4 linked regions of the Saccharomyces cerevisiae S288C genome follow. Changing the gene in region 3 together with the main gene of any one other region gives a genetic interaction. Each region holds a gene or a part of one and is shown on either strand. Other genes may lie near its edges. The genes, in order: POB3, ALD2, PPA2 and JEN1.

Region 1 (8,466 bases), 670 kb from region 3:
TTGGTGACTGTTTCTCAATATTTATTTGACCGTCTTATACCCAATATGGTAATATACCAGTAATATAAATACTAGTCGTTAGATGATAGTTGCTTCTTATTCCGAAAATGAGTATGGAAGTGTTGCATATGATAGGGCGGCTACAGTGATGGTAAACATAAGATACTTTAGCGGGAAATTAGCAACTGGAAGTTAAATTATCTAGACATAAGTGTGGCGGTCACGCTGAACGCAGGAGATCGGATAGATTGATAAGCTGATCAAGAACATTGATCGGTTTGTTGTTTAAAGAATGGTTTTTGAAAACGTTTGACCAGTTGCTTCTCCCAGACGCTTACCGATATGATGATAAAGATAATATCTTCAATTGAATACCCCGTGGATCAGCACGAATAACAGAAAAAAAGGGTGAAATTCACCGTAAGCATGATACGCACTACGTTCTTCTTACCTTTGCCAACGTGTTGTCTTTGACGTACGTAATTATGGGAGATCGTTGATGATTAGCCCCAGCTCACTTTCTTCTTAATGACTGACCCGCTACTATCAAAATTAAGGTGTCAAATATCATGATGAATGAGGTCTCTAGGCGACTCAATTATACATCTTTTAGAGATTTTTTTACTACTTGCAGATAATTTCTCAAGGGATTAGATTCAAATCTGGCTTGTCAATTACGCCCTTTTCAAGCTCATCAAATTGCGTATGTCATTCATGCTTCCATTAGGAACCATAGAAGCATGGCTGAAATGGCAATATACGGCTTCCCAATTTCAACTCTAAAGTAATGGCGGTCGAATTTAATCTATATTTTACAGTTTTATACGTACTTTAAAAGCAATCAGTAAACACCTCTGGTGCTATTCAAGGGTTTTTTGCCTTTATTTGTTACTGTCAATTGTCTGGCGCTGTGATAAAAAACAAGGCATAAAGCTCCCCCGTCATGAACATTAAGACTCGCTAGACGAGAGAGTGAAATATAATGCATTTCCTGATTTAAATGCGCTACAAACATGGTGTAAATCTGGCCCGGAGTGAGTGCTTGCCAATTTGGCTTCTAAGGGAGAAAGATCAAACCACTCCCAATTGCGTCATTTTGAAAGAGTGGCCACCTCGCGAGCGTCTGTCGAACTAACTGATGAATAAATATATAAGGAGAAAATCACTTCAACTTCGCTACAAGTAGTCACTATTTGTAGCAACTGTAAACGAACACATCAAAGAATAAGATTACATTCTATATCTAAGACTAAATTTTAAATGTCCGCTAAATCGTTTGAAGTCACAGATCCAGTCAATTCAAGTCTCAAAGGGTTTGCCCTTGCTAACCCCTCCATTACGCTGGTCCCTGAAGAAAAAATTCTCTTCAGAAAGACCGATTCCGACAAGATCGCATTAATTTCTGGTGGTGGTAGTGGACATGAACCTACACACGCCGGTTTCATTGGTAAGGGTATGTTGAGTGGCGCCGTGGTTGGCGAAATTTTTGCATCCCCTTCAACAAAACAGATTTTAAATGCAATCCGTTTAGTCAATGAAAATGCGTCTGGCGTTTTATTGATTGTGAAGAACTACACAGGTGATGTTTTGCATTTTGGTCTGTCCGCTGAGAGAGCAAGAGCCTTGGGTATTAACTGCCGCGTTGCTGTCATAGGTGATGATGTTGCAGTTGGCAGAGAAAAGGGTGGTATGGTTGGTAGAAGAGCATTGGCAGGTACCGTTTTGGTTCATAAGATTGTAGGTGCCTTCGCAGAAGAATATTCTAGTAAGTATGGCTTAGACGGTACAGCTAAAGTGGCTAAAATTATCAACGACAATTTGGTGACCATTGGATCTTCTTTAGACCATTGTAAAGTTCCTGGCAGGAAATTCGAAAGTGAATTAAACGAAAAACAAATGGAATTGGGTATGGGTATTCATAACGAACCTGGTGTGAAAGTTTTAGACCCTATTCCTTCTACCGAAGACTTGATCTCCAAGTATATGCTACCAAAACTATTGGATCCAAACGATAAGGATAGAGCTTTTGTAAAGTTTGATGAAGATGATGAAGTTGTCTTGTTAGTTAACAATCTCGGCGGTGTTTCTAATTTTGTTATTAGTTCTATCACTTCCAAAACTACGGATTTCTTAAAGGAAAATTACAACATAACCCCGGTTCAAACAATTGCTGGCACATTGATGACCTCCTTCAATGGTAATGGGTTCAGTATCACATTACTAAACGCCACTAAGGCTACAAAGGCTTTGCAATCTGATTTTGAGGAGATCAAATCAGTACTAGACTTGTTGAACGCATTTACGAACGCACCGGGCTGGCCAATTGCAGATTTTGAAAAGACTTCTGCCCCATCTGTTAACGATGACTTGTTACATAATGAAGTAACAGCAAAGGCCGTCGGTACCTATGACTTTGACAAGTTTGCTGAGTGGATGAAGAGTGGTGCTGAACAAGTTATCAAGAGCGAACCGCACATTACGGAACTAGACAATCAAGTTGGTGATGGTGATTGTGGTTACACTTTAGTGGCAGGAGTTAAAGGCATCACCGAAAACCTTGACAAGCTGTCGAAGGACTCATTATCTCAGGCGGTTGCCCAAATTTCAGATTTCATTGAAGGCTCAATGGGAGGTACTTCTGGTGGTTTATATTCTATTCTTTTGTCGGGTTTTTCACACGGATTAATTCAGGTTTGTAAATCAAAGGATGAACCCGTCACTAAGGAAATTGTGGCTAAGTCACTCGGAATTGCATTGGATACTTTATACAAATATACAAAGGCAAGGAAGGGATCATCCACCATGATTGATGCTTTAGAACCATTCGTTAAAGAATTTACTGCATCTAAGGATTTCAATAAGGCGGTAAAAGCTGCAGAGGAAGGTGCTAAATCCACTGCTACATTCGAGGCCAAATTTGGCAGAGCTTCGTATGTCGGCGATTCATCTCAAGTAGAAGATCCTGGTGCAGTAGGCCTATGTGAGTTTTTGAAGGGGGTTCAAAGCGCCTTGTAAGTACTTGGCTCACGAATACATATCAAGATACTTATGATATATATATATAGAAAAAGCTTACTTTTCTTGGAGTTATTGTTATTATCATCGCGAAGAACGATTGTATAACCCGGTTCAACGCGAAACGAATCGTTAAACTGGTGAAATGTTAACGCGAGTGTCAGAGATATACATAGTATGAGAGTAGCTAGATGTTGAATCGGTGGTAAGAACAAGAAGGAAATACCGTTAACAAGTGAAGGAACAATCTAGTATTGTTGAACAAGAATTATGAGTACCGACTTTGATAGAATTTACTTGAACCAATCTAAATTTAGCGGTAGATTCCGTATTGCTGATTCTGGGTTAGGGTGGAAAATTAGTACCAGTGGTGGCTCTGCAGCAAATCAGGCAAGAAAACCATTTTTATTACCAGCCACAGAATTATCTACCGTCCAATGGAGTAGGGGCTGCAGGGGTTACGACTTGAAGATAAATACCAAAAATCAAGGTGTTATCCAACTAGATGGATTTTCTCAGGATGACTATAACTTAATCAAGAATGATTTCCATCGCCGTTTTAATATTCAGGTAGAGCAAAGAGAACATTCCTTACGTGGTTGGAACTGGGGTAAGACAGACCTTGCCAGGAATGAAATGGTTTTTGCTTTAAATGGTAAACCAACTTTTGAAATTCCTTATGCTAGAATAAATAATACAAATTTGACCTCTAAAAATGAAGTAGGAATAGAATTTAATATTCAAGATGAAGAGTACCAACCAGCCGGTGACGAATTGGTAGAGATGAGGTTCTATATTCCTGGTGTTATTCAAACAAACGTCGATGAAAACATGACCAAAAAGGAAGAGTCAAGCAACGAGGTCGTACCAAAGAAAGAAGATGGTGCTGAAGGAGAAGATGTACAAATGGCAGTAGAGGAAAAGAGTATGGCAGAAGCATTCTATGAAGAACTAAAGGAAAAGGCAGACATCGGGGAAGTCGCTGGTGATGCAATAGTTTCCTTCCAAGACGTCTTTTTTACCACGCCAAGAGGTCGTTATGATATCGATATTTACAAGAACTCCATTAGACTCAGGGGTAAGACCTATGAATACAAATTGCAACATCGTCAAATACAAAGAATTGTTTCGTTACCAAAGGCAGATGATATCCATCACTTATTGGTTTTGGCAATTGAACCTCCTTTACGTCAAGGACAGACCACCTACCCCTTTCTTGTCTTACAATTTCAGAAAGATGAGGAAACAGAAGTGCAATTGAATCTAGAAGATGAAGATTATGAGGAAAATTATAAGGATAAATTGAAAAAACAATATGATGCTAAAACTCATATAGTTTTAAGTCATGTATTAAAAGGTCTGACTGACCGTAGAGTCATTGTTCCTGGAGAATATAAATCCAAATATGATCAGTGTGCAGTTTCATGTTCTTTCAAAGCAAACGAAGGTTATTTGTATCCATTAGATAACGCTTTCTTCTTTTTAACTAAGCCAACTTTGTACATACCATTCAGTGATGTTAGCATGGTAAACATTTCAAGAGCAGGACAAACTTCTACGTCATCGAGGACGTTTGATTTGGAAGTGGTACTGCGTTCAAATAGAGGTTCTACCACTTTTGCCAACATCAGTAAGGAAGAGCAGCAATTATTGGAACAATTCCTAAAGTCTAAAAACCTAAGGGTGAAGAATGAAGATAGAGAGGTACAAGAAAGGTTACAAACCGCTTTAGGTTCAGACAGTGACGAAGAGGATATTAATATGGGTTCCGCTGGTGAAGATGATGAATCAGTAGATGAGGATTTTCAGGTCAGCTCTGATAATGACGCAGACGAAGTTGCAGAAGAGTTTGATTCAGATGCGGCTTTAAGTGATGCTGAGGGGGGTAGCGACGAAGAAAGGCCTTCGAAGAAGCCTAAGGTAGAATAGTAATAATTTTAGACTGTATAAGTTAAATTTATTGATATTGTGTAAAAACTAACTAATATATTTTGCCAATTGATATTATCATGACATGGTGAGTGTAAGACACCACCTCTTAATTACTGGTGTTATTCTATACATTTATTTGAAATTGGTTTTGTTTTGCAAAATATTTATGTTTTGTTAATCTCCTCTACCCTTTCAATGCTTGAAAAATACTTTCAACTTTTCGATTGGGTGATGAAAAAAAGACAAATAGTGTAAAGGGTTCAAAAATAAATAACAAGCAAGAGAAAGGGACTTTGCTTTTCTCATTTAGTCACCAGTAAGTTATGTCATGGTGTAGAATAACGAATTACAGAAAACTAATATAACTGATGAAAGACCAGGGAGTAAAATGGCTTTGACTCAGTTTGAAAATGATTTGGAAATATTAAGAGATATGTACCCAGAACTGGAAATGAAATCGGTAAAAGTAGAGGAGGAAGGTGAATTCCCTCAAAGAATTAACGGAAAGTTACTGTTCAAGATATCACTATTGGCCGATGTAAATATTGAGTTCGGCGAGCAACATATGTTACTTTCAAACTTATCTAATGAATGCGTGGAGTTCACCATATATAGCTGTCATTATCCGGACATTCGACGGTGTGTTGTTATGGATATCAAATCCTTATGGATATCAACAGATGAAAAGAAGATGTTAATTGACAAAGCGCTGAGACTCGTTGAAGAAACTGTAGATATGAGTATTGAGTTCGCGGATTCGTTTACCTCCATCCTTATCCTCATCTTTGGGTTTCTTATAGATGATACAGCTATATTACTATTCCCTAATGGAATAAGAAAGTGCCTGACACAGGATCAGTATGACTTGTTTAAGCAGATAAGTGAGGAAGCCACCCTCCAAAAAGTGAGCAGATCTAACTACCATTGTTGTATTTGTATGGAAATGGAAAAGGGTGTTAGAATGATCAAATTGCCATGTGAAAATGCGAATGTAGAACACTATCTTTGCAGAGGATGCGCCAAATCTTATTTCACTGCAATGATTCAGGAAAACCGAATATCCAGTGTAAGATGTCCACAATGCGAATACAAAGAATTAAAACTAGAAGATTTCAAGAGCTATAAAAAAATGCTGAAGGCATTGTTTACACCTTTGATTCCAGTGTCCTTCTTAAAAGAGGTTATCGATACAGAGCTATGTGAAAGATACGAAAAAATGTTCTACAACCAGGCGGCTACAAGACTCTCAAAATATTGTCCGTATGCTTGTGTGACTTGTCGAAGATGTGATAGTTGGTGCACAAAAGAAGACCTCGATGATGCGATGATTCAGTGTCAAAAATGTCATTTTGTATTTTGCTTTGACTGCTTGCATGCCTGGCATGGTTACAACAATAAATGTGGCAAGAAAGTTTCGTTATCGACCGATATTATTGAGGAATATCTAGATGATACCGTTACTTCATATGAGAGAAAGCGGAAACTGGAGGCAAAATATGGGAGAAGAGTATTAGAACTTGAAGTCAATGATTACCTTGCTGAAAAAATGTTAGATTTAGCGATTAAAAAAGAGGGTTCGAATTTGCAGCGATGTCCAAAGTGTAAGGTAGTTGTAGAAAGAAGTGAAGGTTGCAATAAAATGAAATGCGAAGTATGCGGGACGCTGTTCTGTTTTATATGCGGAGTATTACTTTATCCTGAGGACCCTTATGAACATTTTAGAGAAGCATATTCAGGCTGTTATGGACGATTGTTTGAAGGTATGCCTGGCACAGAAACTTGAGTGCGATCGCTCTGCCTTCAGTCTCACACTTTTTCTTATAATCTATTGTCATGAAATTTATACAGATGAAAATGAAACGTTATCTTGGGTATACTGCATTCTCTTTTCTTTTACATATCTACCTATCTAAAATACCCTTAGTTTTATCATCTGGCTGATAACGCAAGGACCACTTAGGTCCCATGATGGTGATAAGAGCCATATCCAGTAGTGTGAAAATCCACGAAGCACAGTAGACCAAAAATGAGCAGATTGCCACTAATCTGACCAAAAACTGTATAAAGCTTAAACGAACATCAGAAACTACTATGGATAATGGTTCGAAATTGTATTTGAAGAAGATGCCCGGCATTTTATCACCTTTAGCAGCGACATCTTTGTACAAATAGCGGTAATCGTTAACAGAATATTGATTAGTATCCACTTCTGCCCCCAATTTCTTGAAAAGAGTGGGCACAACAGATGTGTAATAGACGTAAGTAGTTAAAGGTTCATCCTGATTAAACTGTGCAGTGTTATCCAATGGGTTATCAATATATGGATAGAAATCACCAAAAGAGAACTCATTAATAACATGATTAAATTTTAATTCTTCCAGTGGTGCTTTGCGTGAAGCCACGTAACCTAAACTCTTCGCTGTAATCTGCAATTCGCCACTAACTCTATTTACCGGAATGGACCCAAATACATGGCACCCATTGAATTCCGGAAGATGTGCCTTGTTAGGATCACTTTCATCAAAAAATGACCTAGTATCTAGTTTTTCTCTAAATTCTGCTGGGATAGCTTCCCCTAAGATTTCATCCAATTCCGGCGTAATAATTTCATTGATATCATTGACTTTTGTGTCATAAGGAATAAAGAATGGCATCTCTTCCAATTGCAATTCCTCTAATACAAGTTTCCGATCCATTGTTTGGTCTCTGACGTTGATTTGCAACCAATCACATTTCGTGTTGACGTATATATCCATATTAATTTGAACGGTATCTCTAACTTGACTGTCCACTACGTACTGCTGGTCAATATAACCACCGAAGTATTCACCAAACTCGGTCCATGCTATAAACAACAGAAACAGATATGTCAACAAAGATGTTAAGCCACCCTTGGTGGATTTCTTCTTGTACTGTTCTTCAGTTTTTGCTGTAAAGTTAAATTTCCATTGTTAGTGAAAAAGCAAAAGCAAAAATAAAATATGCTGAAGCGGGCTACTTCAGAAAAATCCATATAACATACGAAACGCATCAAATGTCTTCAATCCTGCCATTATATACTCCTGAAGTCTCTGCCTGTACGTTACAGCAAAAGCATTTTGGAGGAACGCTTTTCTCAGTAAGAATAGAACATTGATAATATCTTTTCAAAGCCTTGACCGAGCGGGAAAAAAGGACGTTATGCAAAAATACTTAATATACTGAAAGGCTGTGTATATGTTTACATATTTACTGTCATTTGAAAAAAAAGTTCTGTGGTGAATTACTTCTCCATCAAGTCTGGAGAAGGGGAGTTAGATGTGTCTTCTGTATACTTATCAGACTTTTTGGGCTTAGCTTTGTAATGATTTGCTGCAAGAAATGCGAGTACCAATAGGACCCACTGGATGGCATACCTGGCGAGCCCCATAATGAACCCACTTCCCACGTTTACTTTTAACAGTTCCCAGCCTGTAGTGTGTACAGCAGCGTTGTCAGATCCTACGTCTGTTACCTCTTCAGGTTCTAATGTTTTCAGTG
Region 2 (8,129 bases), 200 kb from region 3:
GCTAAGCTGGGCAAACTTAAAGCTGTTGTCGTGCCAAAGTTATTCAATGAATTTAAGTCATGAAATGAATTTGAAGCACTGGTGACGCCTGAATGAATGGAAGAATTGGTATAATTCATGCTAGTTGTAGAATTATGAGAATTCGTTAATGGAGATAGGGCTGATATGGGCTTTTGTGCAGCACTAGCATGGTCATTTGTGCTCGCATTGTTGTTACTTTGCGTATTTCTTCTGCGCCGTTTAATCCCATTTGGGTTCAACTTGAATGGCTTGTCAGTTGAAGCGTTCGGGAAACTAATAGGCGAGCGATTTACCTGCTGATGTGTATTTGTGTTATGAATTAAAACCTGCGACTGGTTCTGATTGGCTTGTGTGTTTATAACAGGACCAAGTTGTCGGTTAGGGAGCGATTGGTTTATATTTTGGGAAACATTATTTCGATTATGCTGCTGATCAGGTAAGATAGTATTTAGTGCGTTAGAAAATTGGTTGTTTAGCTGTGCAGTATTCGTATTCACATCTATGGTTCCATTCGTAGTCCGATGCTGGTTGATACCAGAATGGGTGTTGGAATCTCCTGTACATAAATCAGCAGTATGCTGTCTACCAGAGCCATTATTCTGCATTTTCTGCAAGTAAGCACTACTAACGGCTGATATCGAATTTAGCAATTCGATAGCAAGCTTATTTTGGGCATTGTTTGTGCTTGGGCGCGCGCTTGGCTGCGCAACCAACTTAAGTAATATATTCAATTTGTTCATAACTTTATAGTTATCTTGTTTTAGGTTTAAAACCATTGTATTCTGTTCCGCGATCTTATTAGATAACTTGTTGAAGCTTTCCTCCATCTCAATCATTCGGGCACTCATTTCGTCCATTCTTTGAAAAATCTTCAACTGATCCGTCGATATTTCGTTCGACGGTGAATCATTAGTCAAGGATTGGCTTAACATACGCCCTGTACCCGCCGTTGTCGAGTTCGAAGCGGAAACATTCGAGTTCACCCGCTCTTCATTACTCAGTTTTTCACCAATAGTTTCTGTTGGTTGACTGGTACCTGTGGGTGCTGAAATCGCTGCTGAAGTCCTCAAAAGACCTCCATCTAGTGCATTTCCATCGTTGCGAAGTGTACTGGCGTTACTGCCACTGGCGCTCTCTGAACCAGTCGTAGGCGAAATGTGAGTGGGCAGTGAGAGGTCAAGATTGATACCTATAGCATCTTCATTTACTTGACTATTCATCCTGTACCCATCCTTTAATGTAGTGGGCATCATTAAGAATAAGAAGAAAGGGCTCATCAGTGTAGAATAATCGAAGCTGATGGTTATCCTATAAATCTTTGTACGTACGATGCAAAGAATCGCAATACCCATTCCAGACATTATGCTCCAGCCATATGTACCCTAAATATAATCTTTTTTGTATATAAAAAACCTAAAAAAGAGATAACTAAACCTAGCTCAATATTTAATTTGACCTAACCCTCCGTCGGCCCTTTTTTTTTATTTTTTTCTTCGGAACGGTGCGCTATAAAGAAAAAAGGCAAATTCCAGGTTATCCATATAAACGCCATAACAAAATTTCATTGATACAGGCTTTAAGAACCTTGCTCTATTTACTACTGCTCTTTCTTCCTCTCTCAGGTTGAGCTATTTTTGAGAATAGCGCTTTACTGCTGCATGGAGGAGTGATTTTTTATAGAACATTGAAAAACCAAAGGACTGGTGCCTAACTACAAAATTTTCAAGAGTTGTTTCAAGTTATCTATATTGTCATTGGTTAATAATTATAAAAAATCTTAAAGTTTGGAGAGCCAAATTTTTTTTCTATATAAAAAAGCAAATGTCATTCAAGTTTCTGATAGAATCGCTGCTTCTCGGTTCGATAAGCGGACAAATACGGTGTGGTAGATCTTCGGTGATCCCCCGTGGCGATGTATCTTATGGGGGAGACGATACTGACGAACTTAACATGGATATAATGTTGTTTGCGTTTGGAACCTTAATCGTGGTCTACATCGTCATCTGTATCGTTTATTTTTTTACAAAACAGATAGCTACGCGGCTTATAACTGCATATTATAATGAGCATGGCCCTGGCCAAAGAATATCTTTATTCAGCGATTATGACGAAAATAATGCACACGTTCATAGCAGAAGATTAATGGAAAACATGAGTTTAAGGTGGCCCAACAATCTTGACGATGCTGATGAAGTAAGAGATAAGCTGGCACAGTTGTCACCTGAAGAGCAGTTTTATTATAAGCAAGGTGAGGAGTATATCAAGCAGAACCCACCATTTCTGCTTAACCAGGGACTTTTACAACAGTCCGAAGATAGCAATCCAGACACCACCCGTGAAGACCCTATTATGAACGAGCAAACAAGGCAATATATTCAAGAAGAGGGGGCTTATGCATGGGAGTTTAGCCCAAATCCTGATATGCCAAACCATACTGTCATAGTGGAAAATAAAACAGAGGTTTCTTTTCTAAATTATAATTATGATGCTTCTATATCCACAAATCTACCCATTCCGTGTATAAATAAAGTATATTATTGTGAATTCAAGATATTTGAAACGGATGGCCCACTAAACAGTGATGAAAATGTATCGAAAGGTGTCATCTCATTTGGTCTTTCCACACAGCCTTATCCATATTTCAGGTTACCGGGAAGACACCACCATTCGATAGCATACGATTCTAACGGCGCCAGAAGATTTAATGACTCCTTCAAACTAAATGAGCAATTAAGAACGTTATTTCCACAGTGTGAAAAGGGAGACATTGTTGGCATTGGCTATAGGTCACGTAGTGGAACAGTATTTTTCACCAGGAACGGAAAAAAACTAAATGAAAAATCTGTTGGTGGTCATATCCGCGGCTGGAAATTCCAATACCTATACCCGATCATTGGCTCCAACGTACCTTGTCAAATTCATGTGAATTTCGGCACTTATGGCTTTGTTTATATAGAAGCAAACGTTAAAAAATGGGGATACGCAAAGTCAAACGGCATTAAATTACCTCCTCCTTCTTACGAAGACTACGGTAAAGATACCCTATTAGAAAGCGGTGGTGAAGACAATGATTTCGACGAAGATTTTTCAGACGGTGATAGCGACAATATTGCGGCTGGTAGTACTACAAATCTCAATGATGATATAATTATAAGAAACGGTGAAATATTACCGCCACCACCTGGATTTGAATTCACTATGTCCCCTCCCACTGGAAAGAAGATCATCAATGAGGAAATTAATCTAGATTCCTTACCTATGCTACCACCAAGTTACTCGGACGATGAACATCATTCGAAAAATGATAAATCAGCAATAAGCGGACGAATTATTGGAACGAGCAGAAATTTAATTACTGATGAAGCATCTTTCGATAGTGTTGATAATGATAACGAAGATGAAAATGATCACGAGAGAGATCCCGAACAATTTTCAGAATTTGATGATTACGAAAGCAGGATGCATGGCATATAATACGAAAATGCATGAGATAGTAAGGCTGAAACACTAGCCCCGGTCAGTTATCTTTTTTTGCGCTGTATTACGCAGAGCCACCATTTTTTAAAAACATTGCAATTTATAACGTTTTCTTCCTTATTGAGGGTTTCAACGCTATCACCTACTCGATATCGCAGTGCAGCATATAGATATTTACATACATATATACATATGTTTACGTACACTAGTAAGGGCAACTGGTTGACCCGCAAACTTCCTTCTTACTTTCCGTACTTTTGCCATCTTTACTTGCACCTCCGTGCTACCTCTTAATGTGTCACAAGAAGAACGTATGAAGTATTTGTCAGCGCTTCAGACATCAGCATGGGTTGCAAATGCGTGAGATTAAAATGAAGCGTTCCAGCTCGAAAGAAAATTTGCTTATCTTTCCCTTCTATCATTTTTTTTTTCTCGTTTTTTATTTTGCATTGCCTTATCTTTTGCCGCCAGAAGAAACAAGGTTGCCATTATCGTGCCATGCGTTTACTTGCTAACGCCCTATGATGTTCCCGGCGGCTTTTGGATACTAATAATAGCAATCATATACCCTTTATTGGTTACTCCTATCCAATGATGAGTTTTTTTAACTCGTTTAAACATTAGGGATGCAATCTTGTCGACACTCACTGATCATATCCCGAATTTTGCTCAAGAATGTTCATATAAAGGGAGCGAATCCTTAAAAATACTTTTGGCCCATTCCTATCATTTTTACATTGCATGTCCATCAAAAACAATCGTGAAAATAAGCCAAAAGAAAAATGCCTACCTTGTATACTGATATCGAAATCCCACAATTGAAAATCTCTTTAAAGCAACCGCTAGGGTTGTTTATCAACAATGAGTTTTGTCCATCATCAGATGGAAAGACCATCGAAACTGTGAACCCAGCTACTGGCGAACCGATAACATCCTTCCAAGCAGCTAACGAAAAGGATGTAGACAAAGCTGTGAAAGCTGCCAGGGCTGCTTTTGATAACGTTTGGTCGAAGACATCTTCTGAGCAACGTGGTATTTATCTTTCAAACTTATTAAAACTTATTGAGGAGGAGCAAGACACACTTGCCGCATTAGAGACTTTAGACGCTGGAAAGCCTTACCATTCAAATGCCAAAGGTGATTTGGCACAAATTTTACAGCTTACCAGATATTTTGCTGGGTCCGCTGATAAGTTTGACAAAGGTGCAACCATACCATTGACTTTTAACAAGTTTGCATATACTCTAAAAGTTCCTTTTGGCGTTGTTGCTCAAATCGTTCCATGGAATTATCCTCTAGCTATGGCTTGTTGGAAATTGCAAGGTGCCTTAGCAGCCGGTAACACGGTTATCATCAAACCTGCTGAGAATACCTCTCTATCTCTACTTTATTTTGCTACTTTAATTAAAAAAGCAGGTTTTCCACCTGGTGTTGTCAATATCGTTCCTGGTTATGGATCACTTGTAGGCCAAGCCCTAGCATCTCACATGGATATCGACAAAATATCTTTTACGGGAAGCACCAAGGTCGGTGGATTTGTGTTGGAAGCTTCCGGCCAATCGAACCTTAAAGACGTTACACTAGAATGCGGTGGTAAGTCTCCTGCTCTCGTATTTGAAGATGCAGACCTTGATAAGGCTATCGATTGGATAGCAGCTGGCATTTTCTACAATTCAGGACAGAATTGTACCGCAAACTCAAGAGTTTATGTTCAAAGTTCGATCTACGACAAGTTTGTTGAAAAGTTTAAAGAAACTGCAAAGAAGGAGTGGGATGTTGCAGGAAAATTTGATCCGTTTGATGAGAAATGCATCGTTGGTCCAGTTATATCAAGTACACAGTATGACCGCATCAAAAGTTACATAGAACGTGGTAAAAGGGAGGAAAAGTTGGACATGTTCCAGACCTCTGAATTTCCTATTGGTGGAGCTAAAGGCTACTTCATTCCCCCAACCATCTTCACTGATGTCCCGCAAACATCGAAACTGTTACAGGATGAGATATTTGGCCCGGTTGTGGTTGTTAGCAAGTTCACAAATTATGATGACGCTCTGAAGCTGGCTAATGATACTTGCTACGGGCTCGCCTCTGCGGTCTTCACAAAAGATGTCAAGAAAGCGCACATGTTTGCTCGCGATATTAAAGCAGGAACTGTTTGGATCAACTCATCTAACGATGAAGATGTTACCGTTCCTTTTGGCGGGTTTAAAATGAGTGGTATTGGTAGAGAACTGGGGCAAAGTGGTGTTGATACCTATCTTCAAACAAAAGCAGTTCACATAAATCTCTCTTTGGACAACTAATGTGATAGTTATCATTATGTAAGTGCGTAAGTACCTAAATAGCTTAGCCTGACGACGGATGAATATGTTGACAGTCTAGCAAACAGTAGTAGTCCACTACTCGATATAAAACTGTAAGCACCATTATTTCAGCATGCGGAACAATTGTTGTTACTAGGTCCTAGAAATCCCTTAAGATGGTAAAAAAATAGAGCTATAAACTCAGTGAGATTTATTTTTGTGTCAAGAAATTATACTTGCGTGTTAGTTTTCTCTATTCCCACCATTACGTAGATCTTCCGTCTTTTTTTTTTCTTTTTCTGCATATGACGTCTGTTCTTCCTTCCCCCCCTGGAGTACAAGGAAAGTATCACTATTAGAACTCTACAGTACCTTTCTTCCACGCCCTTTAGTGCATTTAGGGATTTTCATTACTGCTAATCCAAGACTTGAACCGGATTGTTGATCAGCCCCCTTCTTAAGCTGATTGCTAAACTCCCTAAGGGTTAAGGAATTAGTAAGTTTAGGGAGGAGACAGGGAGATTGTTCAAACGAATAGCGTAGATTTAACTGATCATACCTCAGAAACTAATTGTATAAAATGGCAAATCTGGATGGGAATAAATTTGACTCATGCCAGGTAATTATACCTTGGACTTGTATCATAGAGATATAGATTATACACATTTAGAAAATTAGCCAAAAGAAAAATGCCTACCTTGTATACTGATATCGAAATCCCACAATTGAAAATCTCTTTAAAGCAACCGCTAGGGTTGTTTATCAACAATGAGTTTTGTCCATCATCAGATGGAAAGACCATCGAAACTGTGAACCCAGCTACTGGCGAACCGATAACATCCTTCCAAGCAGCTAACGAAAAGGATGTAGACAAAGCTGTGAAAGCTGCCAGGGCTGCTTTTGATAACGTTTGGTCGAAGACATCTTCTGAGCAACGTGGTATTTATCTTTCAAACTTATTAAAACTTATTGAGGAGGAGCAAGACACACTTGCCGCATTAGAGACTTTAGACGCTGGTAAGCCTTTCCATTCCAATGCTAAACAAGACTTAGCCCAGATTATAGAACTTACAAGATACTATGCGGGGGCGGTCGACAAGTTCAATATGGGTGAAACCATTCCATTGACTTTTAACAAGTTTGCATATACTCTAAAAGTTCCTTTTGGCGTTGTTGCTCAAATCGTTCCATGGAATTATCCTCTAGCTATGGCTTGTAGAAAAATGCAAGGTGCCTTAGCGGCCGGTAACACGGTTATCATCAAACCTGCTGAAAATACCTCTCTATCTCTACTTTATTTTGCTACTTTAATTAAAAAAGCAGGTTTTCCACCTGGTGTTGTCAATGTCATTCCTGGTTATGGTTCCGTTGTGGGGAAAGCTTTAGGAACCCACATGGATATCGACAAAATATCTTTTACGGGAAGTACTAAGGTTGGCGGCTCAGTATTGGAAGCTTCCGGCCAATCGAACCTTAAGGATATCACACTAGAATGCGGTGGTAAGTCTCCTGCTCTTGTATTTGAAGATGCAGACCTTGATAAGGCTATAGAATGGGTAGCAAATGGTATTTTTTTTAATTCGGGACAGATCTGCACTGCAAACTCAAGAGTTTATGTTCAAAGTTCGATCTACGACAAGTTTGTTGAAAAGTTTAAAGAAACTGCAAAGAAGGAGTGGGATGTTGCAGGAAAATTTGATCCGTTTGATGAGAAATGCATCGTTGGTCCAGTTATATCAAGTACACAGTATGACCGCATCAAAAGTTACATAGAACGTGGTAAAAAGGAGGAAAAGTTGGACATGTTCCAGACCTCTGAATTTCCTATTGGTGGAGCTAAAGGCTACTTCATTCCCCCAACCATCTTCACTGATGTACCAGAAACATCTAAGTTGCTGCGTGATGAAATATTTGGCCCGGTTGTGGTTGTTAGCAAGTTCACAAATTATGATGACGCTCTGAAGCTGGCTAATGATACTTGCTACGGGCTCGCCTCTGCGGTCTTCACCAAAGATGTCAAGAAAGCGCACATGTTTGCTCGCGATATTAAAGCAGGAACTGTTTGGATCAATCAAACCAATCAAGAAGAAGCTAAAGTTCCTTTTGGCGGATTTAAGATGAGTGGTATTGGTAGAGAATCAGGCGACACCGGCGTTGATAACTATTTACAAATAAAATCAGTCCATGTGGATCTTTCATTGGATAAATAATTCGTTACATAGTTATATAAATGTTTACATGAGATTCAAAGCTTCATATTCTATGAAATCTTTATTTTTTACGGCTTTAAATGAAGTGCGCGCAGCCATGTAAGCTAAGCGTAAGAGA
Region 3 (7,888 bases):
AAATAGGGCTTTAATGCACGCCTCTGATATGATGAGGGTTGAGCTGGATGCTCAATGGCAAAAATTTCTCTCTAAGTCTGCCTTGGACCATGATGTAACTCTAGATGTGGATGAATTGAACATTCCAAACGAAATATCCCGGAATATCTTAGTTAAACTGGACAGCTTATTCGAAGGGTTGCATGATAAAATAGCCAAAGAGAACGAATTCGATGTAAGGCAAGATAAGCATTCTAATAATATAAGGGCGAATCAGATAGACGACGAGCCCATGCAGGCCAATCGACGAATTAAATACACATATCATGACTTGGTTTCAAGAGGTTGTGAAATGAACGAGGATATGACGGATATCTACATGAAATCATTAGAGCTATATAACGATATCCCAGAAAAGTATAAAAAGAGAAAATTCAGACTGCCCAAACAAATTCTAAAAAAGTATCACCAGCCAAAAAAGACCAGTTCATACTTAAAGGAGCTATTAAGTAAAACAAGAGAAGATTTCATACCTGTGGAAAAGTTATTGAAGGATAAACGGTTGACATCAAAGGACAAATCCAAGCTACAACGCTTAAATCGTGAAGAGACGGAAGATGCTCTAAACAAAAGAACATTTTTTCAGGTAAAGGGCTACTTAGAGGATGAGAATGAGATCTCTGATTACGAGTTGGACGACTGCCTCATAGAACTGCCTAATGGGAACATATGAATGAGAAAATCTTTTTTTTACCTTTTTCCATTAAGAAATATTCATCTCCTTTTAAGATCAACATATGTAACAATAAATATACTCTTTTAAAGATGTTCTTTTAATTTACTTACTGAAATTTAATATTAATAAAAGTTCGAAAACAAAGACTAAATACAAAAATAAAAAGATCATAAATTCAAACTTTTAAGAATGTCTTTTACGGATACATATTTACATATTAGACTATGATAATCATATATGCTCCTTTCTATCTCTTCTTGCTGAACTTTCTTCCTTTTTATGTTTTTTTGACTTTTTGGATTTTTTATGCTTCGATTTATCACCTTCATCGCTGCTATGCTTACTTTTCTTTCCTTTTTTACTCTCCTTCTTGCTTTTCTTCTTCTTCTTCTTCTTACTCTCACTGTCGTTACTAGTCTTTTTATCTTTTTTCAATTTTTTTCTCTTGACCTTGTTATCATCTTCATCACGCCTTCTTCTCTTCTTCCCTTTACTCGAACTTGCACTAGATACAACAAAGCTGGCTTCCTCCTTTTTACCAAGATTAGTAATGGTTCCTTTCAGCCCTTCTCCCTTTACAAACCACCTGTATAGAGGTGAGCTACTTTTCGATACAGCAGTAGCAACTGCCTCATTTTGAGTAAATTTAATACTGCCATTATTCGAATCAGTGCTTACATCCAGGTTCTTCAGATGTCCATCAAATAGCCTTTCCCACCATGCTTCGCCATCATTCCCGCCAGGAGCATTACCCAATCCCTTCTTATCTCTCTTGTGCTTTACCAGTATGGGTCTTTTCAAACCACCTTCTCTAAACGCTTCTCCTTCTTTCCAACCATATGATATCAGATATTCTTTGCTATCCATGTCCGATTTATTCTGATAATATTTCCGCTTGTATCATTCAATTTTCTATGTACATCATGACAATGAATTGTAGAGTGCATCAATGTCTTTTTTAAAGTCATCGCTAAAAAATTTTCAGGCGGGAACTTATTCAAAATGGCAGATTTACTACAACATTGAAAACCCTTTATATTTATTATATGAGAATCATTAGCGATAAACAAGCCCACATATTCACTTCATAATCTGTGATAATGGAGTATGGACATCACGCTAGACCAGATTCAAAACGACCATTGGATGAAGGATCACCAGCAGCCGCAGGATTAACTTCTAAGAAGGCGAACGAAGCTTTAACAAGAAATAGAGAATTAACAACTGTATTAGTCAAAAATTTGCCTAAGAGCTATAATCAAAACAAAGTCTATAAGTACTTCAAACATTGTGGGCCCATTATACACGTTGATGTTGCGGATTCGCTGAAGAAGAACTTTCGTTTTGCACGTATTGAATTTGCCAGGTATGATGGAGCCCTCGCTGCAATAACCAAAACACACAAAGTTGTAGGTCAGAATGAAATTATAGTATCTCATTTAACAGAATGCACATTATGGATGACGAATTTCCCCCCAAGTTATACTCAAAGAAATATTAGAGATCTATTGCAAGATATTAACGTTGTTGCACTCAGTATACGGCTTCCCAGTTTACGATTCAATACAAGCAGAAGGTTCGCTTACATCGATGTTACTTCTAAAGAGGATGCAAGATATTGTGTAGAAAAATTGAATGGACTCAAAATAGAAGGTTATACTTTAGTTACTAAAGTTTCCAATCCGCTGGAAAAGTCGAAACGGACCGATTCTGCCACACTAGAGGGGCGAGAGATTATGATACGAAACCTAAGTACAGAATTGCTCGACGAAAACCTTCTGAGGGAATCTTTTGAGGGATTTGGTTCCATTGAAAAAATCAACATACCTGCTGGACAGAAAGAGCACAGTTTCAATAACTGTTGTGCATTTATGGTTTTTGAAAATAAAGATTCTGCTGAAAGGGCACTTCAAATGAATAGAAGTTTGTTAGGTAATAGGGAAATTTCCGTTTCCTTGGCTGATAAAAAACCATTCTTAGAAAGAAACGAAGTCAAAAGACTTCTCGCATCGCGTAACAGCAAAGAACTAGAAACACTAATATGCTTATTTCCACTTTCAGATAAGGTGTCACCAAGCTTAATCTGCCAATTTCTTCAGGAAGAAATACACATCAATGAAAAAGATATTAGGAAAATACTTCTCGTTAGCGACTTCAATGGCGCCATTATTATATTTAGAGATAGTAAGTTTGCAGCAAAAATGCTAATGATACTAAATGGATCTCAATTTCAGGGAAAGGTGATACGTTCAGGTACTATTAATGACATGAAAAGATATTATAACAATCAACAGAATCACAGCATGAAACACGTCAAACCTAGTTGTATAAACATGATGGAAAAAGGACCAAATCTTCAAGTAAAGAAAAAAATTCCTGACAAACAAGAGCAGATGTCCAACGACGATTTTCGCAAGATGTTTCTAGGTGAGTAGACTAACCGAACCGGAGAAAGACGAACTTCTAATAGGATGTCATTTTAGCAGTGAATATAAACCCAAGTTTCTTTCCAAACGTTCACATACATCAAGCAGCCAACATTCGAGAGAGCAGAGATTACGTAATTATATACAAGGAACCTTTATCTAAACATTTTCTTCGAAGGTATTATTTTCATATTAAACGTAATACCATTTTTGCACCTCAGGCGGTATTTGAGAAGGGGGTTTAACACTATCTTCAAGTGTGACACCATTACCAGCCCTTTCTGTATTAGGCAGGTTGTCATACTTCTCCTGGAGTGATCCTGAAATGAGGTTTTTCCACGAATTGTGACATTTCTTTATAGTTTGGATGGTTTTATTGGAATTTTGATACTGTTCATGAAAGGCGAAACTATTTAATGGCTTCCCTGCTGGAACTTTATACTTTCTAAACCACTCCCTAGTCGTATCTAGAATCCCAGGAAAGTACTCCTCAATTTTTTCCAAGTCATCTATTTTAGAGGATAAAGGATCATTTACGTCGATCACTATGACCTTCCAATCCAATTCTCCATCATCAATTAAAGCGAGTGATCCTAATACCTTGACCTTTTTAATGGAACCCATTTCCAAAACATCCGAACCGATTTCGCAACAATCAAGAGGATCATTGTCACCTTTCAAAGCCACGTCACACTTCCCCAGTTTATGTTCAATTGTGGGATCTTCCCATGTTTGGGGAATAGCACCATAGTTGTGTATATAGCCGTGATAGGGAAAGATATTGTTCACGAACCTAAGCTTGCCATTCTTCGTATCTTGAACGATCGGATTGAACCTAAGTTCTTTGGATATTTCAAATTTTCCAGTTGTCCATCTTGGTACTTCAACAATCATATTTACGGTCTTTTCATGTTCATTCAAATCTAAAGGGACATCATGGAAAAAAGAACCAACCTCTCCATTTAATAATGTCAAGTATTTCTTAAACCCGAGGGTATATTTGCTGCCTTGTTGAATGGTGCTGAATTGTCTATGATTACGAATGGATAAAATATTCAATGTTTGTTTTAACCGTTCTATTGACCTAGCCTTGCTTGTTAAAGCATTCATTCGTAATAAATTCATGTTTTTCAGTAACTTCTCTAGAAGGGAATTTGCTTTTCACGCATACAAGCGAATCAAAGTTTCCAATTGAATGTACTCCCTATTAGTGCTGGTTAAATTAGCTGACTGCTCCGTATTACTGTGCGGAGTTCCTTTTATCCAATATTCAAACCTCATAGATTGCCAAAAACAAAAAAACTTTGCATAAAAAAAAACAAAAAGGGTTACTATACACGATGAATGATTAGACTATACACTATTATATAAGAAATGATTAGAATCATATTTTAAATGTATTAAAAGAATATATGCACGTCCTTTTCCTCTCCTTTTCTTAGTAAAATTACAATTCAACCATCAGAGGATAACAGCTAAACAAATAGGAATAGATAATTTCTGATAATGTTTAACCTTTAGACTGCCGAACGACTCTCTTCTTCCTTATACTTTGGGTCCGCAAATGGATTATTTTCCTTACTAGCTGTGTCAAATTCGCCATTTGCTTCACCATTTGCTTCGTCTTTAACATCATTATATGGTGGTGGTACGTCACGCAGAGTAAATTTCAAATTCTCATCGATGGTAGCATTTTCATCGTTCATTTCAACAACGCCAGAAACGTCTGAAATCAACAATTTGGAAAATCCAAAAGGATCGCGAGGAATCCACAATTCGGGGCATTGTGCACTAACAGCTGGATAATCGTAAGCATGAGAGATATCGAAATCATTGACTCTTTCATCAGGATCAACCAAACCATATATTTCTGGCAGTCTGCTCTTTACAGCCTTATAGGAGTAGTAAATGTGAGGTTTTAAGAATCTCTTCCACCATGGAGCCGGAGGAATTTTCATTGTATCACCATCTGCTAATAATGGCACGTCCTCAATTAAATTTTCTGCATTTATAGCGTGCCCATCTGCATTGGCTTCATTTGCTGGGTTGAATTGATATTCGAATGTATTTTCACTAAATATGCTATTTTCAACTTGTTGCTCAGTGACTGATTCACTCCTCTTGTGATATTTCTTTATTGGAAATTCAGGTAATTCTTTGATTCCGTCCATGTCAATATTTGCACCAAAAGTATTTTTCTTCACCTTTGTACTTTCTATGCCTTTATAAATATTTTTGAAAGAAGGTGTATCTGATACACCATCTAACGGTTTCATGGTATCAACGGGTATAACCTTTGATAAATGATCAAATGCAGCGCTCAAATGTAAATGAATAAGGACGGTAACACAAATTCCAATTACCTGTAAAACGATTGGGCCCCAACCTTTACCAACGGCAAAAAGACCTAATAGACATATCTGACCGATGTAGATACCAACTATAGTTTGGAAAAGAGCTCTTGGATAATAAATACCCCTTGCGTCGGGTGATTCCTGATAGACATAAGTCAAATTGTATAAATATGCAATATACAATAGGAAAAACGCGACGGCAGCAAATAATAAAATCAACGGAGAAATGATGGAGTAGGAGAAAGTAATAACTGCCAAGTTTGTATAAACTGGAAAAGCTGTCCCCCACTGCATACTGGATAGCCCACAAAAACGATTCCATTTCTTCCTAACGGTACCATCTAAAAAGGCACCTAAAACATAAAAGAGTATTAGTGGAACAATTTGCAAAAGAGCACCTGATGAAATGGACAGACCTTGTAGAATAACGTATGACATGAAAAAATTAGAAGCTTTTGGCAGATTAGAAGCCAGTAGATCCATAGCCTTCGTGGGCTCTTTAACAATTTCCGTTACTGTGGAAGTGGCGGCGGAGGATAGAGTGGTAACTAAAAAGACTTGGATAACTTGAAAGGCGAAATAAGCTTGTTGAGTGAAATATTCCACATTTTGCTTAGATGGAGCACCTTGAGTGATAGCCATACCCCTAATAAATTTCGGCAAGAAACTCATTAAAACGGCCAATGCCACAGTTGGGGCCAGAGATGTCAGTAAACCTAATAGTTGTTTTGGTAATTTATAGATGAACTTTAACCATTTAACTTCATTAGTCAAGGAAGTAATATTAGAGATCATACCAACAAAAGCCACTGGGAAAGCCCATAATATTACTAGCGCGACAATTGCTGAAACCGCACTGACTTCCCTACCTAATCTTTCCCACCAGAACATCCTCAAATTAAACCAAACGACATCGGATGGCTCAATACCAATATACACAGGCGTCATGAAAAGAGGAGCATGGTATGTGGTGATCTGAGCGGCAACTTGGGCCTGATATTGGGATTCAAACTCCACAAAAACGGAGTTGAAAGGGGATGAATTTTCATGATCTTCTTGTAATGCCTTCACCTTTTGGTTTAACTTGGGCAACTCCTCCTTAATGTAGGATATGGTGTCAACTTTTTTACCAAAAAAGAATTTAGCAACCTTGTTAATTTTATGATGTGGTCTTTTCTTGTCAGGGACATATTCAGCAATATTATCAGAGACAGATAATTGCGGACTTTTTTTGTTTAACTTCTTAATTTTTTTCAATGCTGCTTTCAGGTATTTTGTTTCAGCACCTTCCAATTGTATGGCCATATTGTCCCTTGCTTTGACCATTGCTTCAATTGAACCGGAACCTCTTGCGATCCAGACTCTTTTCACACCATCAAACAACTTAGAAAACTCTTCTTCACTTAAGTATTGCTTAGGGACAGTCTGGAATAACACGGTTCTCGAGGATAGTTTTTTAGCATAACGAGGGGACGCTAGTACAGCTTGCTTCATAGAGGTGTAAAAATACAATTCTCTGTAAATAATGTAAAGGAACCCCCAAAAGAAAATCCATCCACAGAAAACATGTGCAAAATATCTACCACGGTGCTTGACGTTCTGATAGGCCAATTGATTCAATCCGCTTTCATGGTTACCGTTACTGGCGTTAATGGACAACAAAATAGGGAATATATAACTCATGGAAACAGCACAGTAAATTGCAATGATGAAAAGGTACCTCAAAAAGAAATATCCATCCAGACCGGCTTGTTGAATGACAAAATTGTCTGATTTTTTCAATAACGGCTTCAGCCATTGCCAGACGCCCTGCGGTAGCGGTTCTGGCTTTTTTTCTTCATTAATCAGATTGAATGAGGATTTGGGCTCATAAATCCTTTTTAGTTTTATACGCAAAATCAAGAACGCTATGACAAAAACACCAAAAATAGTACCATTACTTACCAAAGAAGTAACGACTTGTTGAGTTGACGTGTTTGTACTGGTAGCTGTTGTAGTACTATTAGTACTATTAGTACTATTCATTTTGTCCCTTTGCCCTTGCTGCTAAGCCGTAAACTTATGATTACTAAAACAAAAAGAAACGGAAAAGGCAAACGAATTAATATATATAAGATGAAAAAGAAATAGAAAAAAACAACAAACCGAAATTTGATTACGAAATGGCCATTAATAATAATATTATACAACCAGGCACGGGACAACATCAAGATCGAGTGCCAAGCCATGCGGCTTTGCTGTTGGTTATCAAGTATTTTCTTCCTTTTCCACGATAAAAAAACAAAGATGAAGAATTTTTTTCCAACTTCAAAACCGAAGCTGGCCCACAGAATCCACACAGAAGAAACTTTATACCCGAAAGGAGAAGAAAGGGTGTGCCTTTCCCGCTAAAA
Region 4 (8,814 bases), on a different chromosome or scaffold from region 3:
AGCCACAAATTGACTTTTACAGAAAGTACAGTTTAATTATATAAGAACAGGCACTTAACAATGTTTCGGAACTCTGTAGATAAAACCAAATTACTCTTTCGAAAAGGCTACATTCTACATCAAAATCACCTGTGCAATATATATATATATATATATATATATATATATGCACATATTCGTTAATTTCTTCACTTTTTTCCCCAAATATTAAACAGATGGCTTCATTTCTTCAACATTATTTTCTGGTTCCTATGCCATTTTTAGCCTACTAATAATTATCGTTGAAAAATGTTTCTTGAATAAGTCTTAATGTAAGGATATATCATATGTTGAGATATAAAAATTTAAGTATAAATGAATCAAGACAATAATTTACATTGATTAAGTTATTTCAAAGTATAAGTATTTAGTATCATCATCTATTAAAGCACATTGAACCCTAATGTATGATGCCAATTGCGAATGCACTCACCGAAAAATTAAGGAATTAGCATTTACCAACTATCCTTGATTTATGCAATTTCAAAATAATAAAATATTCATACGAATCTTAACACTCTTCCATAACTTGTCCCATCATAGTTCTTCAAATTCCGATAATTAAATGCTGTTCAACTTCCCACGGAACTGATCTATGGATGTATAACCCTTAGCTTCCATTATGTCTTTTAATTCTTTTTCGATACGTTCAAAAATCTTGACGCCCTCTTTTTGTAATTCTGTACCAATCTGTAGCATAGAGGCACCACATAGAAGATGTTCAAATGCATCCTTACCGGACTTAATTCCACCTGTACCGATAACTTTGATTTCAGGTCTCAAACGAGTGTAAAATGCACGAACATTGGCGAGCGCGGTTGGCTTAACATATTCACCTCCAATACCCCCGAAACCATTCTTTGGCTTCACTACTACACTCTCCTTCTCCACATCAATGAAAAGACCATTTCCTATACTATTGATAGAGTTGACATAAGCTAATGGGAACTCGTTCAATATTTTTGCCATGATATCAAAATGGGCAAAATCAAAATAAGGAGGCAACTTGACACCAAGAGGTTTTTTGAAAAAGGCAAAAACCTTTTCCAAGGTTTCCTTTGTCAAGTCAAAGTCATAAGCAACTTGTGGTTTCCCAGGCACATTAGGACAAGACAAGTTTAACTCGGTAATACCGTTGAATTCGCTATCTTGGATTTTCCTCAACAAATTTAAATTTTCATCAATGCTCATACCAGCAACTGAGAAGAAAATAGCAGGTGCATCAGGATAATTCTTTTGACGGTTTAATACATAGGACAAATAGTAGTCGATACCTTCGTTTGGTAAACCCATGGAGTTGATACTGCCTAGAGGGACAGAAATGTAACGTGGTTCAGGGTTACCTTCTCTTTCTAAGGTTGTAGCACTCTTTGTAATGAATGCGCCAGCTTTAGAGTTTGCTAATTCATCTAATTCTTGTGTAGTCATGCAATGAACACCGGATGCATTCATAAATGGGTTTTCATAGGTATTGTTCAAGAACTTGGTAGTTAAACTGGCTGTCATGTTTGGTACGGAAGTTCAATTTTTTTTTGAGTAATTGTGTATATCTATTTGAAACGTCTAGTAGTCCAAACTGTGTAATCCAAGAGAAGAATACCGGTTCCCGATGCGTATGCCATGCCATATATAAAGCTTTTTTTATTTTTTGGTGATGGGCATCTTGAAAAATTTTCGGCGAATGCCGAAGATCGTGAAATAACCTTCGGCAAAGCCCGGTGAAGAAAATGGCTTCAAGAACATATTAGTGAGAAAAAGTAGGCTGTAGTGGCTGAAGGATAACATTTAGTAAAATCACCAAATCTAAAGTAGAGTAAATATCTAATAAAAAAGGCTAGAATTGTTTCGAAGTTTATCGTCCGATCTTATTACATGGGGAATACACTATTTAGGGTGGGAAGATACCAGATTGACTTGGATCCAAGGTTAGGGAATGACCTCAAGAGGAAAAAGCGACATCTGTAAGATCGAGGATGCTCCTTTTCCTTTTTTCCCCAAATGGGCCGCAGCTGTGAAGCATATCGTTATCATATACTGCATTTTTCTGCTATCGTTCTATGGATGCGATACGTAATATCTTGATACTTACTTCCTTCTGCAAGATTTCTATGGTAAAAAAGCTTATGTAGTGAAACCTGCACAGGCCGAGCTTTGATTGTGTATAAGCATACATCCCCCTTCAAAGGTGAAAAGTAATGTCGAAGTATATGGCTATCCAGCCGCACACTGTCCTCAGGGCCCATTCAGTGCAAGAACCAAAATGCTATATTTCTGAACGGCCTAAAATGAATAACGAAATAATTTTTTCCACTTTTACCAATTTGCTGTTCGACTAACATTTCTTTTCTATTACTATTATTGTCTTATAGTGGCAAAAGCAAGCAAAACAATTTAAATTCTTAGACACAGTAATCTACCATCTTGCTAGTGTTAACGGCTGTTATGTTTCTTGCGGCGCTATTTAAATGTACTTACATTCTAATCCCTTCGAGAAAATTAATACAACAAAAATTCTAACTTTAAAGTATGTCGTATATCATGTCTTTTATGTAATGTTATAAAGGCTATAATATGAATATATGTGAAATGCAGTTACATAGAGAAGCGAACACGCCCTAGAGAGCAATGAAAAGTGATTAAACGGTCTCAATATGCTCCTCATATGTCTTTGAGACGTTCGAATCAATCATCTTCACTGAAGCACATTCCGTCTTTTGTTCAACAATGTCACTAATCGAAAGACCATCGGCTTCGTATTCTTCCACTTGGTTTATATATTTCTTCATAACAGGAGAGGACAAATCACGATGGAATTTCTCATGGCCAACAAAAACACAAGCAAATGTGAAGATGAAAACAGAACCAGTCAAGATAGCCATAACTTTGGCATAATCTTCTTTAATCACAGCACCAGAGGCATCTCTTTCTAATGGGTATCTATCAGCTAACTGTGTCTCAATCGTGGAAGCCGCTGCAGAAGCTAGATTACCTAGCTGGTAAGATAAACCGGCAACCAAAGCCCTTGCATCAGCAGGGGCCAACTCTGCAAGGTGAATGGGCAGGATACCCCAGACACCAAAGACACAAAAATATAACATGAAACCGGCACCTAATATAGCCTTTTCGCTTCTCAACATAAATGCAGGGTAGGTGAAGCAACCACCCATTGTGCATGCAATCAATAGGCCTAATCTTCTTCCAGTAACTTCCATGAACTGTCCAAATATCATACCCCCACAAATAGCACCGATGTTGGTAACCACTACAATGACAGTGACAGCATCCTTGGATAGGCCTAATTGGGCACGCAGCATGGTTGGCAACAAGTCTTGAGAAGCATGAGTCAAGTAATTTGGACCCACCAATAAAACAACCAAATATGCGAACAACAACCAGTACTTTTGAACTGTTCTCTTCATGGATACCATCTTTTGTTTAAAGTTGGCTTTTGGTAGAGGCTCGCCACCATTAGCTTTCACTGCGTCACTCAATATTAATTTACGGGCTTTCAAAACCTTGGTGAAGTATTTCGTTTCAGGCCATAACAATCTCCAGAAAATTAGTAGAATTGGTAGAAAAATACTAAACCAAAACAATATTTTCCAGCCATCATCCCTAAAGTAGCCAAAGGCTCTGTAAAAAATGATAGCAAATATGAACCCCATAGCGTAAGCAGAAAAAAATAGACCTGATAGGAACGAACGTGCTTTCACAGGTGCATCTTCAATCGCTGTTGCAGAAGCACATCCGTAAATTCCTCCCATAGCAATACCGGTTATCCACCTTACGCCCAGAAATTTCTCGTATGTGTCACACCATGGAGTACAGAGTTGTGCAATGACAAATAAGAACAAACATGTAATGTACGGCCACTTTCTGGAAGACTTATCTGTCCATAAACCAAATATGACAGCACCTGCTGAACGAACAAATAACACCAATCCCAACCCCCAGGTGATGTCCTTGGTTGGTCTGTCATATAGTTCAGCCAATGGAGCGACTGATACTGAAACGCAAAAGAAGGCCCAAGCCGCAGACAACCACGCAAAATAACCCATAAAAAAATAGTTCCAATTCTGCCATGTCATTTTGCGCAGTTCGGGTATGGGATTGACATTCTCCCAAGAAAACTCGTGGATGTGCAGTAAGGACGTAAATCTCGTTAAAGCATAACTTTTAATGGACGCAGCGCTTAGGTTTGGCTTATCCTCTTCATCTTCCTCATACTCTACACCTTGATCCTGGCTATAAACTCTTTCCAGCAATTCATCATCTCTTGTATCCTGAATTGATTGTGCAGGCAGTGATGGGTTATGGTATAGCTTTTCGTGATCCGGGTTGTAAACTTCCGGCTCATAATTTATAGGGTTACCTTCTCCGTCCACTAGAGGAGGCTCTGCAAATGTACTTGTGTTATAGTATAGTTTTCTGCCAGCAGGTTGTTGCTGTTCACCAGATATTTTCTCATCTGTAATTGACGACGACATATTTTCAGTAGCAGTATTTAATCTCTTTGAGGAAAAACTTTTGAAACTGTTACTCTTCTTCCTTTTAGATCTAAGGGAGAAGGACTAGACAACTTCCAAAACTATTTCTCAACAATGATGTGCAATGTATTTATACATCAAGAGGGTACTTCACTTTGCTGATTTTTTTTTTTTTTTTTTTTTTTTTTTTTTTGGTAAAGGATAGTACCATAGGAGATAGTAAGTGTTACTTAGATCTCCATCCAAATGACCAGGTAACGTTCTAATGCATTATAGTAGAAGGGGGGGCAAAAGACCGTTAAGTGAAGAATTATGGACGTCCGGATGGTGTGCAGAAGCTTACAAACTAACTTCCTGGTGGAGAATAATGGTAGGCTTGGCGGCTCTGAGATGGAGAAATAGTTTCAAGCCGCGCGCTCAATAACTTCCTCGATCACTGACTTTCGCACCCATCTGGGAACGGTACGGCGAATAGTCTTCATTTAATTGGAGCTGATCGAAAATGCTTGCTGCCGCTTCAGCGTGAATGACGCAGGTGCTGCGTTTGTCCTGTGCCTCCTTTTTTTTTTGGAGTCCGTTTGTCGGCTATTAGCTCTTGGGCTCTAACCCCAGGAAAAGGAAAAAGAGAAACACGCCGGTCTAGTGGAGTAAATTGCGGGGTCAGGATCCCGCGCGGATATCGGCCGTTCAAAGGGTGAAAAGAAGAAATCATTGGAGTCGTTGCGAGTCATTCTTTACGAATCTAATTTCTCCAAATTTTTACAGGTATTCTTAGCCGCCCAAGGTAGCATACAATGACCTTCTATTGCAAAAATGTACAGTGGAATGTAAAAACAGTGGGGACAAACCTGTGGAACACTAAGCGTGGGGGTCCATCCACTTAAACTAAATCGTATTGTTTAAAAGTGTGCAAGCATTGCGATAACGTTCGATTAGACTCTGAATGGAAGACAATGAGTTGATTTTGCTACCAGCAAAAAAAATAATTTATAAACACATTATTCTTGCAATATTTTTCATACTGTGCGTTTATACCTTTTGAAAATTATAGATCCATTTATATATTAATTAACATCCGAAACAAAAGGAAAGTGCGAGGACCGGCCCACCCGATGACTAACGGGAAAGTGGACATGATTTGCCATTTGTACGGGTAATATTTACATATTATTTGATGTGCTTCTTTGGATTGTGTGCAATCACTTACTTCACAGTGTCTATGTAAGAGATGTGAGAGTGTAGCTCGGAAGGTGGAGACATCTCCTAGATCTTGTCTGGCTTCGTTGGGGTAGCCATGAGAAGTTTTCCATTCCCCCGGGTCATGCATGCTGCCCGAGTCAAATAGCGTTTAACTTTGACTCGTACGCCATAATAGGTTATGTTTTATCTTTGGTCAGGGACCCCAGTATTGAGAAAGTAACCTAGGGATGCTACGCCCCAGCTTTACTACGTGGATGATACAGTAAGCACATACATATTGACGGCATCTAATCGTTCTAAACGGAAAAATAGGCGCTGATTTGATCCACTTCGGTTAGGTAACCGCTGATGCCAACGATCTAGGGCCCTTCCATTTTAGGAAAAAGGGTATATACTCTGATGCCCTGTCTGGCCGAACATTCGTATATGTGGATGTATCGTGATCCGTTCGTATTCAATAAAAGTGTAACGATCTCATCTCAAGTCAAAAGTGAGAAGGGAATAACTAAAAAAGAAAAACTGATATTTTGACGTGACGTGGTTTATTAGCAAGTATGTTTCAACCATTCTCAGCGTAAACCCTATCACAATAACGTCTCTATGAAAAGTTTAACATTTTGTCTATCTCGGTTCAATCAGTTGAATAGCGAACCTTATAGCAAATAGCATTTTCAATAAAAATGTGACATACAGACTTCCACTTTTCTTGCTTTTCTCATGCTCTGTGTGATGCTACTGTTACCGCGGCACCACATTTTGGCATACGTCGGGACATTGGCGGCTGAATAGATTATACCCGTCGCCCTTTTTTCATCTCTCCTTTTCTTTTTGTCGTAAGCAAATTACAGAATTGAATATTTGAATAACCCTAAAAAAAATGCCACTCCCCTAAAAACAAACCAGATTAAGTTGCAAGAAATAGACTGATTGGAACATACGGGTCCTATTCAGTGCTCAATAAAAATTAAAATAATGTGATCAAACAACCCGAGACTATTCTTGAATTAGCATTAGCCACTATAAATTTTAACATTTTTCAGAGTCTTTCGTGCGGAGACCGTAAATATTAGCATTGACCTTGTCAATGAAGTAATTGTCTTTGATTTTAACCGTGTTAAAGATTTCGCAAAAGAGAAAGCTTGCTGGCTTGGAGCAGTAACTTTTTTTGATTTTTTTTTACAAGCACACATGCTTTTGCCTTTAGAATATTACGGCTCCTCATGTGGATAGTAAAAACTTGACCGTTGCATCTGTTCTCCTTCGAACAAAGAATAAATCGTCTGAAAAATCACATAGAAAAATAATAGAAAAATAAAAAACATAGTAACATATTTTAAAAGAGACCTTTTATTGAAGAAAATTTGGCGATAAAAATGATTATAACATTGAAATGACGAAGAAAAGGACAGTGCCCGAATTCTCGATTCCAATAAAAGGCGAAAAATTACAATCGCCAGCATGTTTGGTACGGGGCGACTCGTGGCATTTTAAAGTACGCTGGCATGTTTAAAGGTATTAGTGTTCTTGGCGTGGAAAGTGCAGGTGTCTCACTTTTTAGAACGAACAAATTCAAACAATATACAACAATCCGCCGAAAACATTCCAGAAATTAAGATTGTTAAGCACTTTTGCTAAGAAAAAAAAAGGGCTCTCCCCTGTGAATTAACTCAAAGGTAGCGTGTTCTGCCTATGCAAGGTGACCGTTTTTGCAGATATTGTAGTGAGATGCTCTACAAAAGGGGTTTCCTAATCTAATCTTTTACCATATCAAAAATGCCCTAATATTATTATTAAAGAGCTATCAAAGCCTGATTCCTTAGGTATATGACTAGTTCCCGAATTAATGGCATTGATTCATTACTTATTTTATTAGGGGGATGATAAAAATAATGATATCTTTTTCTGCAGCGTCATTTAAGTACTGATTGAGACTGACAGTTGTGATAGAGATATTAAGTAGTAGAAACGGTCCATGAATTGTTCTTTGTTAATATTCTTGCTGAGGGAGGCTTTTCTTTTGGGCTGCTATGCTTTCATTCTACTTAAGCAACGAGATAGGAAGCTTCAAAAGGTGAATGGTGAAATGCTGAAGAAGATTTCGTCATTCCAATCCTCGAGAGTGCGACGTAAGTAGTGACTCTAATGAATTTTCTATGCCTCATAAAGCTTGAGGTATATTTATCCATACGCAAATAATACACGATCTAGGATTATTGTAGTATGTTATTGTTTGACAATATCCTTGGACAAGTTCTAATCACTTATATTTCCCAAACATGATTCGTGTATTTTGGCGTTAGAAAACGACGGCAAGTAAGCTCCCAACATTTACTTGACGAGTTTTTTGTCACTATCATCACGCCCTAGAGCCAAGTTATATTTTTATCGTAAATTCTGTAAATTAACAGTCATTCTAAGCAGGTTGTTTTAATATTTACAGGTAACTTGGCTGACTTCTTTTAAATGTGGCTTCTATGACAAAAAAACTGAAAAAAATGACTAATTAGTAAATTCAGCCTCTTATCATAAAATCAGGGTCTATAGGACGGTACGTGAGAAAAAGATAAGCTTTGGAATATAAAGAGTTACATTTTCATTCTGCAAAAATTCAAATAAAGGAGTATTGAAAAAAAACTTAAAAAGTACAAATAATTAATATAGTTCGAGATATTTAGTTTTCATTGAGTTGGAAAAATGATTGTTCCCACTTATGGAGACGTTTTGGATGCCAGCAACAGAATTAAAGAATATGTAAATAAAACACCGGTTCTCACTTCACGAATGCTTAATGATCGACTTGGAGCACAAATATACTTTAAAGGTGAGAATTTCCAACGAGTGGGAGCGTTCAAGTTTCGTGGAGCAATGAATGCTGTTTCAAAATTAAGTGATGAAAAAAGAAGTAAGGGAGTAATTGCCTTCTCATCAGGAAACCATGCACAGGCTATTGCTCTTAGTGCAAAACTATTAAATGTACCTGCAACAATTGTTATGCCCGAGGATGCGCCCGCCCTTAAAGTTGCTGCTACAGCCGGTTACGGAGCACATATCATAAGGTATAACAGGTATACTGAAGATCGCGAGCAGA

What was found.
Region 1: mutations in PPA2 (region 3) and POB3 together harm fitness less than expected from each alone (positive genetic interaction), as found in Saccharomyces cerevisiae (one large-scale study listed by BioGRID).
Region 2: mutations in PPA2 (region 3) and ALD2 together harm fitness more than expected from each alone (negative genetic interaction), as found in Saccharomyces cerevisiae (one large-scale study listed by BioGRID).
Region 4: mutations in PPA2 (region 3) and JEN1 together harm fitness less than expected from each alone (positive genetic interaction), as found in Saccharomyces cerevisiae (one large-scale study listed by BioGRID).

The regions. Positions count from the first base shown.
Region 1 is NC_001145.3:132,215-140,680, forward strand, and holds POB3 (FACT complex subunit POB3), read left to right. Parts: upstream 1-3,285; coding exon 3,286-4,944; downstream 4,945-8,466. Other genes in the region: DAK1 (dihydroxyacetone kinase), read left to right, coding at 1,261-3,015; ITT1 (RBR-type E3 ubiquitin transferase), read left to right, coding at 5,336-6,730; ERV41 (Erv41p), read right to left, coding at 6,849-7,876, 7,970-8,000; SMA2 (Sma2p), read right to left, coding at 8,210-8,466. UniProt on the Saccharomyces cerevisiae protein: Component of the FACT complex, a general chromatin factor that acts to reorganize nucleosomes. The FACT complex is involved in multiple processes that require DNA as a template such as mRNA elongation, DNA replication and DNA repair.
Region 2 is NC_001145.3:599,234-607,362, reverse strand, and holds ALD2 (aldehyde dehydrogenase (NAD(+)) ALD2), read left to right. Parts: upstream 1-4,280; coding exon 4,281-5,801; downstream 5,802-8,129. Other genes in the region: HOT1 (Hot1p), read right to left, coding at 1-1,382; EAR1 (Ear1p), read left to right, coding at 1,843-3,495; aldehyde dehydrogenase (NAD(+)) ALD3, read left to right, coding at 6,491-8,011. UniProt on the Saccharomyces cerevisiae protein: Cytoplasmic aldehyde dehydrogenase involved in ethanol oxidation. Required for pantothenic acid production through the conversion of 3-aminopropanal to beta-alanine, an intermediate in pantothenic acid (vitamin B5) and coenzyme A (CoA) biosynthesis.
Region 3 is NC_001145.3:798,150-806,037, reverse strand, and holds PPA2 (inorganic diphosphatase PPA2), read right to left. Parts: upstream 4,267-7,888; coding exon 3,334-4,266; downstream 1-3,333. Other genes in the region: RRN9 (Rrn9p), read left to right, coding at 1-712; TMA23 (Tma23p), read right to left, coding at 947-1,582; U6 snRNP complex subunit PRP24, read left to right, coding at 1,816-3,150; RSN1 (Rsn1p), read right to left, coding at 4,659-7,520. UniProt on the Saccharomyces cerevisiae protein: Involved in energy production. Its activity is stimulated by uncouplers of ATP synthesis.
Region 4 is NC_001143.9:17,946-26,759, reverse strand, and holds JEN1 (monocarboxylate/H+ symporter), read right to left. Parts: upstream 4,527-8,814; coding exon 2,676-4,526; downstream 1-2,675. Other genes in the region: URA1 (dihydroorotate dehydrogenase), read right to left, coding at 601-1,545; threo-3-hydroxy-L-aspartate ammonia-lyase SRY1, read left to right, coding at 8,421-8,814. UniProt on the Saccharomyces cerevisiae protein: Essential to lactate transport.